Tribolium castaneum: one gene and its partner. The protein of the gene in region 2 interacts with the protein of the main gene of each other region in a pairwise test. Links are inferred from orthologs where the notes say so. Each region holds a gene or a part of one and is shown on either strand. Other genes may lie near its edges.

Region 1 (3,826 bases), on a different chromosome or scaffold from region 2:
TGCAAATAAAAATTCGAAATGGGTAAAATTTATTTATCGTATTCACATCACAGAGAAACAAACATACAATGAGAGAACAACCTCAGTTATGAATGTTACATTTACTGATATTGGAAAACATGTACATCATTCACTGCATTTAACTAGCGCCGTACCTTTAATAATCTTCTTATAATTAGTCTTATTCACAACAAAGCAACAAGTCAATAGTATGCGTGTACATGTGGCTAAAACTTGGACAGTCTCATGGTTTAATTCGAATAATAATAGTAATTGTAGCGTTATGAGCGTGTCGAAGTAAGACAAAACAACCGAGGACCAATTGAAAGATATGTCTTAAATCCACGAGACGTCAAGTACAAAAATGTGTGAAAAATCGTTTGGATAATAATTAATAGGAAAGCAACTTTTTCGTCCACGTTTTGTGCATTCAAAGTAAGAAAATTGTCCGCACCCTACCTACAAGTTTAATTGTCCATTTTGGACTACTTTTTCTCTAGCTGTGTAGATGTCGCACAACATAAACCTGCATTAAAACAATTGTGGGTTACATCTTATTTTATTTTTGAAATAAATTACAAAAAAGTTATAATGCCGTAGTCACAATTAGAAAATAAACTGACTAGAGATTCAATCATGACTCAATAGGATACTACCAGATATTAAATACTACAATTTACATAACAGTTTGGTTGTATGCGCAAAATTAACATAGAATACACAACAAAATTGGCGAAACTCTAAACAAGGAACAAAGGTCGCTTAGTGCCCACTTGTCGGAGTTATGTATTTTACGTTACTTTTGATATACTGATACGACAATTACTAGTTTTGCGCTAAAATGGATGATTGTATTCAAATAACGTCTGCTTTAGTGAATTAGAGAGTGAATAATTAGATACACTTACAATTTGTTGGTTTCCTTGTAAAAAAAGCGTAAATGGGAGATACAAAATAGTCGAGAGAGGAATGTATCACTTAAAATGCATGTCATTAAATTACAGTATGATCAAAGTAAATGCACTGGCTACACTACGAAATGGTACTGAAGCTACTCCAAATCTGCTAAAGCGCCATATAGTTTTTATGTACACATTAATGTATTATATTATATTTGCATCTGTTCTTTAAAGGTCCATAATTTCCTGATTCAATTCGGACAGTAAAGTATAATAACAAAATCTAGAAAAATATGTTTTGGTATTATACTTGACGAAACTAATTACACACAAGTAGGCTTTATAGTTAGAATGTTTATTATAATTAATATTAATTACCATATTGTAGATGAACGCTACTTGAGCCAGACAGTAATAATTTGGTTCCACATTATCATTAACACATACTTAGTTTTTACAAATTTGGTAACTAAATCTATGCAATATAGCTCTTTTCATTCATTAAAATTATACAAACATAAATAACATTGAACCGTAATATATTAAAAAAAACAATAACTTAGAAGAAAAAGAAAGCAACTACAATACGTTGATAAATGCAATCTCTTCTTAATGGCACACTATCTTGTATACAAATTATTTTGTGCACAGATTAGGTCAAACAAATCGACAGAAAAATAAACTGTTTGTCAACCGATGTTATTATCAAGCACAGGAAAGCTACCCCTTGTATTGTGTCAACTCACCAACCAGGTCATCGATCAACAGAAAAGAACACATCTCACTCAACTTTGGTACAATTATAACAGCAAACGTTGCCGGGACTTCCCCTGGCCGAGAAATACCGCAACGTTTAGCAAATACACCGGCACTACCATGTCTGTTGTATTTTTTTGGTTTAACCATGTACTAAAGTCAATAATGTATGAAAAGGAATAGTAATGAGAGGTTTCTCAGTAGAGGCCGCAGTTGCGCAGATTATTAGCTATGATCACATCAGTGACTGCGTCGAATACGAACTGGATATTATGCGTGTCTGTGGCACAGGTCATATGGCAGTAGATTTCTTTTGTTGTCGATTTGTTCTTCGCTTCGAATTGTGCTTGGATGTACGCCGCTGCTTCGCCATACTCTTGCGCACCTTCAACAAAACGCGCCCTCAAAAATCATCACTCAACACAACCAAAACCCATACCTGCGTATTCGGGGAAACATATTGTTAAAGGCGACTTCCTAATTTTTTCCTCGAACAAGTCTTTCTTATTAAGGAAGAGGATTATAGACGTGTCCGTGAACCACTTGTTGTTACAGATCGAATCGAAAAGCTTCAAGCTCTCCTGCATTCGGTTCTGGAACAGAAAAAATTGATCACTGCAAAGTTCCAATGATAAAGTTAGAAATTAGGGAATAGAAACTTTCCCAATCAATAAAATGAAATATGGTATAACTCCCGTGACGTTTGTTTATACCCAGATACAATCATTTCGACTGATTATTATTAAATACGTTGACGTCATCGCGCGATGAATTAATTGCGACGAATGAAATTCAACATAAATGAGTAAAACACATTTGTCACAGAACTTAGTAACGCATTTCTTTGCGAAAATTTTATTATTGTGTGATTTCGGCGATTTGGTGGTAGAATCCACCCTCCGCATTCAATTTTTTAACTGGCTTTCAGGCTGAGAGCACTCGGTGCCACTTGACAAATCAAATTGAGCTATTTGGAGCTTGGAATTAAACGAGGAAAAAATCGCGGAATAATGTTGGAAAATTAATGCACCTACAAAAATAGGCTTCCCGGAAATTTTCCTTTGATGTAATGAAAGATTAAATTCCATTAAAATTGGTTTGACGGTTCTATTAATAACGTAACGAACAGGAAACTATTTGTTTTAAACCCACCCTTGCTATGTTAGATAACCACATTATGGAATATACTACAGAAGCGGATTAAGCGCCCCTTGTAGACTCGACGTCCCAAAACTTGAAGGAGTCACTCGTCAAAAAAATATTTATAGCGTAACAAATACACAATTATTATGCTTATTCAATTTCTTACAAAGTTTAGTAAAGTAAAGCACAAAAATTACACACAATTATTTTCAAATTATTACAATATTTTTCACATACCAAGATTCGTTTATTTAGAAAGTGAGAATTCGGAAATGATTTTATGTAGGTAATGGAATATTTGAGAGATTTTGAGTAAGTGAATCTTCAATTTCATGCGAATACCGGGGATCAAATAAATAGAGAAAACATTTCTTTTGCCGTTGCTTAGATCGTTACTATTCACAAAATTTTGTTATCTCTGCACTTTTTAGTTAATTAAAGTGTGTTCTTTTTTAAACGGAATTCCCCAAGTCAAAATTTTGGTCAAGACATTGTTTTTGTCCTTAAAAATTTCGTTAAATATTAAGGTTATGTTTTACTTTTAAAGTTTTGTTTAAATTTAGACTGTCCTTTGAACGCGTGCTTATCAAATACCTGAGGATAGATATATCAATACCATGTGTCCAATCATTAAACTCACTGACAGACGAATAAATTTTAATGAAAAAAAAGTTTATATACCGAAAAAAGTTGTTGGGTTTAAATTTTCTGTAATTAATTTGAAATCTAAATTAATCTTCAGCTTTACTTTCAAAATTAGCACAGTAATACATTTTCAGTTTCTTCATCAAATGCTGTGCAACAAGACATTCTTATTTAATTTGTCTATGATTTGTCTGCATTTTCGTCACTCTTTTTTATTAAAAATTGAAAAATGATAAAGAAATCTATAAGTATTATATATTTCGAGGATGGTCTTCATATGACTAATGCTTTCACATTCAACATTTTCTAAAATTGCTGTCGGTACCTAGTCTGTATTTTTGTGTAATACACTTTAATTTGTTTAATGGCATTTTTTTCAAAAT
Region 2 (4,471 bases):
GCAAACCTTTCAGTACTGTAAGTACGTACTTAAATTACTAACTTTTTTTTGTAAAATTACTTGATGATTTTTACCACCAAGATCTCCGAAAGTTGTGACGATCACTTAACTTAGTCTGAAGTTATAAAAAAAATACATCAAATTTATAGTTACATGCTCAGATGTTGCACAATTTTTTTTTTTTTTTTTTTTTTAGGAACCCAACAATTTGACAAACTTGAGTTCGTACAGATATAACGGCCTGATCCACAAAAAAACCGTTGGTATTGTGGACGCGCCTGATAAGAAAGGCTTTACTGTCGTGTACAAAAAAGCCAGTAAACAGGTAATTCAAATCCATGATTTTTTGGCCCATGTTTGATTTTTTTAATTTAGAATAAACCAAGGCAATGTATCGTGAAACGCACGATGAAATCGGGCCCCAGACGCTCTTTGGCCAAGCTTGAGAGGCTTTTGAAGGCCAACAAATACCGCACTGACTTGTCCAAGGCGGCCCTTCGCAGAGCCAGTGCCGTCCTCAGGTCACAAAAGCCCCTCCCCGCCAAAAAACCCAAGGCGAAGAAACCAGAATAAGAAATTAATAAAAATTTCGTATTAAAATTTGTTTGATTTTTCGAACATAACCTTACAAAATGGCCACGTCGGAACATTTACAATCAGCGAATTTTGTTAAATCGGTGCACCAAAAATTGCGAAGTGATGCGAAAATCATGGGGGCTGGTAACGCATGGCGTAGGCATTGTGAAAATGGGGAGAATCTTGCGAAATATGCCTCTGCCATGCAAAATTTGGCTACGAATCATTGGGAGAAAACTACAAACTCTAGGGCTGTGTCAAGAGTCGAGTGGGTGCATAGTTTTTGCCTCAAATATTTTCACGAAGAAATATTCAAACAGAGACAACGTGAGGTTGAAATTGCAACGAAACTTAACCTAAAAGTGCCTGATCTTGTGTTAGGTGTTAAAAACCAATACGAGTTATTGGATGTGGGGAGTTGTTTCAACCCCTTTGCGAAATATCAGTGTTTCAGTGTCACCCCCATAGACATAGCCCCTGCCACTAGTGATGTGTTAAAGTGCGATTTTTTAAATGTGGACCTAACTTCAAATCAGTATAACCTTCAAAAAAATTCGTTTGATGTGGTTGTCTTTAGTCTTTTGCTTGAATATTTGCCTTCACCGGATCAGCGACACACTTGTTGCGAAAAAGCCTACAATTTATTAAGACCAGAAGGCATTTTACTTATTATAACCCCCGATTCTAAACATGTGGGAGCCAATGCAAAAATAATGAAATCTTGGCGTTTTATTTTAGCCAAAATGGGTTTTTCACGCATCAAATACGAAAAACTAGCCTATTTGCATTGCATGGCGTTCAGGAAAAGTATCAAGAGTGAAATCGCGCAACGTTGGGCCCTTTTACAAATTGAGAAACCTTTTTACGAGGAAATTGTTATCCCGCAAGATTTTAACAAAATTGAAACACCCACGGGTGTGGTTTGTGACAGTGGTGATAATTGTGAAGTGTCTTTGTTCGAGGAATTGCCCCAAAGTTTTGAATAAATTTTGTTTTTTTCTTTGATGGTGTTTGATTTAATATGCCCGCCTAATCCCAAACACAAATTCCCCCAGATTTGTTGAAAATCGTGACAGTTGCAGGAAGAGGAGTGTTGTGTGTTTTGACAATTGTGCGTTTTTATTGTTGTTTATTTGCGTAACAATGAAAGAATGAGCGGGTGATTCATACCTCAAGTGCTTTTAATTGCTTTAATTAATCGAATTAACGTTAAAAATGTCCCTGAGTGCTAGTGCCGAGAACCTGACTGTGGAAACACAGGTGTGTCCCTTTTCCTTATAAAAGCGCCCCAAATCGGGCAACTGATTACAATAATTTTAAGGACTATGACGGTTCGAGCAATATGTGCTTAGAGTTGGCCTTGGAGGGCGAGCGTCTGTGCAAGGCGGGCGACTGCAGGGCAGGAGTGGCTTTTTTTCAGGCCGCAATCCAGGCCGGAACTGACGACTTGCGGACGCTCAGTGCTATTTACAGTCAGCTCGGAAATGCGTATTTTTATCTAGGAGATTATGGCAAAGCCATGCAATATCACAAACATGATCTCACTTTGGCCAGGTATTGACTAATCAAACGGTTGCAATTATTGATGGTGGCTTGTTTAGGACAATGGGTGATAAACTGGGCGAGGCGAAGTCTTCGGGAAATCTGGGCAATACTCTGAAGGTGATGGGGCGGTTTGATGAAGCTGTGGTGTGTTGTAAACGACATTTGGAGCTTTCGAGAGAATTGGGCGATAGGTTGAGCGAAGGCAGGGCGTTGTATAATTTAGGAAATGTTTTTCATGCCAAGGGGAAACATATCGGGAGGGTGGGGCACAAGGATCCGGGGGATTTTTCAGATGACGTCAAAGGGTGTCTCCAAGAAGCTGTCTCTTATTATGAGTAAGTTGGTTCACTGATAAGAATTTTATCACCGTGATAAGAAGAGGCTGTGCTTCTTTACTTTACTGAGAAGAATTTAAATTTGATCAAAGCTTGTGTTAAAGTAGAAATAAAATATTAATAATTTTTCCAAACTTCAAATGAGTTGTCGTGGACAGTGTGAAAATATAATTTTCTTGTCGGAAATATATTTTGACGTTATCTTTTTAATTTCGTATTTATGAACGCATAAAATCCCGCTATAAGCACACCTCTCGTATCAATAAATAATTCCCAGAAATACGATATTTATCAGTGGTCGCTTATTATTTCAAGGGAAAACTTAACACTGATGCGTGAACTGGGCGATATAGCGGCACAAGGAAGAGCTTGTGGTAATTTGGGCAATACGTTTTATTTATTGGGTGATTTCGCGCAAGCGATACATTACCATGAAGAAAGATTATCAATAGCGAGACAATTTGGTGATAAAGCGGCCGAAAGAAGAGCACATAGTAATCTCGGAAATTCGCATATTTTTATGGGACAGTTTGAAGAAGCCGCCCATCATTACAAGTAAGCCATTAGAGAAAAATAGCTAGAAGTGAAATTGTTTTTTTTTAGACGAACTCTAGCCCTGGCCCAGGAATTAGGCGACCATGCAGTCGAAGCTCAGGCTTGTTATAGTTTAGGCAACACTTATACGCTATTGAGAGATTACGAAACTGCCATTGAATATCATTTGAGACATCTTTTGATAGCGCAAAATTTGGCCGATCGCATTGGGGAAGGTAGGGCGTGTTGGTCATTGGGTAATGCAAACGCATCGTTGGGTAATCACGAAAAGGCGCTACAATTTGCCAAAAAACACCTCGAAATTAGTAAAGAGGTAAAACGATTTGTTATTGTTTTTTTGTGTAAAATAAAGTTGGGTTTAGTTGGGCGATCCAATGGGTGAAGCTACAGCGAAAATGAACATTGCTGACTTACGAAAAATCCTCAATTTGCCTGATAGTCCCGAATCGTGTGACAGTGATTCCCCGAAAGAGAATGACGTCACTCACCAGAGGATACAAAGGGTGAGACGTGAAAGCATGGAACAGCTTAGCCTGATTAAGGTAGTGGTTTATTTTTTTTTATTTTTGCGCTGGTTCTTTTGACGTAAGTAACTTTTTGTTGTGTGGCGTAATGTTTAATCGATTAACGTACGAGCAGTTATTTTTATCCGTTGTTTGGTTTTTGTGTCGCTAATTGCATTATGTTTGCAAAGAAAATTAAACAATAACAACGGAAATTTGCATTAAAATTATTACGTTGCTTATTCTAAACTACAAACGGATTTAAATAAAATATACTGAATTATTTCTTATAACTAAAATTTAAAATTAAAAATATAATTACAAACAAAAAATTAATCGAATTCTTGTTCCAAAACCACTTGAGATCCTACACTAATTTATAAACAGTCCGTATAATAACATTAGTATTTTTACTTTTGTTTTGAGTAAGTTTCGAATATGACTTATTTCAGTATTTAATTAATACTTTTAGAAAAAAACAGCTCAAATAAATCAGTTTGTGATCATAATATTTCAGTTTATTTCCACTCATAGCTTATGCAACAAGTGCTAAACACACGTTTAATTGCATTCTGTGTCACTACGGAAATTTTTGTTTGCTGCATGAAATTTGCTTGCTTCATAATCTCTAAATATTGTCATTGAAAAATCTGGCAATTTTCCAAGCTTCTTTCGTACTAAATAACAGACAAAATAAACAGCGATCTATTGCGCTTCACGATGATGCAAAATAGATCAATTAGTTGTGAACGCGTCGGTGTTTTGCATCGTCCAACAGAAATTTATAAATTAAACAACACTTGACGTCAAAACACCGACTTCCAGTTGACACCCGACGGCAAACAACGTCCCGGCTTCACACTTCCACCAATGAAATCAGCCCCGTCACCAACTAAAAACGAAGATGACGATTCCTTCTTCGATTTGTTATCCCGCTTCCAATCGAAACGTATGGAC

What was found.
Region 1: the proteins of pins (region 2) and Galphao interact in a two-hybrid assay, tested with the Drosophila melanogaster proteins (3 studies listed by BioGRID, with this or other methods). The link is inferred for Tribolium castaneum from reciprocal best matches to the Drosophila melanogaster genes pins and Galphao.

Annotation. Positions count from the first base shown.
Region 1 is NC_087396.1:19,009,905-19,013,730, reverse strand, and holds the end of Galphao (guanine nucleotide-binding protein G(o) subunit alpha), read right to left. Parts: intron 2,249-3,826; coding exon 2,095-2,248; intron 2,041-2,094; coding exon 1,853-2,040; 3' UTR 13-1,852; downstream 1-12. UniProt on the Drosophila melanogaster protein: Guanine nucleotide-binding proteins (G proteins) are involved as modulators or transducers in various transmembrane signaling systems.
Region 2 is NC_087394.1:36,920,333-36,924,803, reverse strand, and holds the start of pins (G-protein-signaling modulator 2), read left to right. Parts: upstream 1-1,650; 5' UTR 1,651-1,791; coding exon 1,792-1,836; intron 1,837-1,897; coding exon 1,898-2,130; intron 2,131-2,177; coding exon 2,178-2,456; intron 2,457-2,771; coding exon 2,772-3,011; intron 3,012-3,059; coding exon 3,060-3,324; intron 3,325-3,373; coding exon 3,374-3,553; intron 3,554-4,339; coding exon 4,340-4,471. Other genes in the region: RpL28 (large ribosomal subunit protein eL28), read left to right, coding at 1-17, 197-325, 376-573; Samtor (S-adenosylmethionine sensor upstream of mTORC1), read left to right, coding at 633-1,562.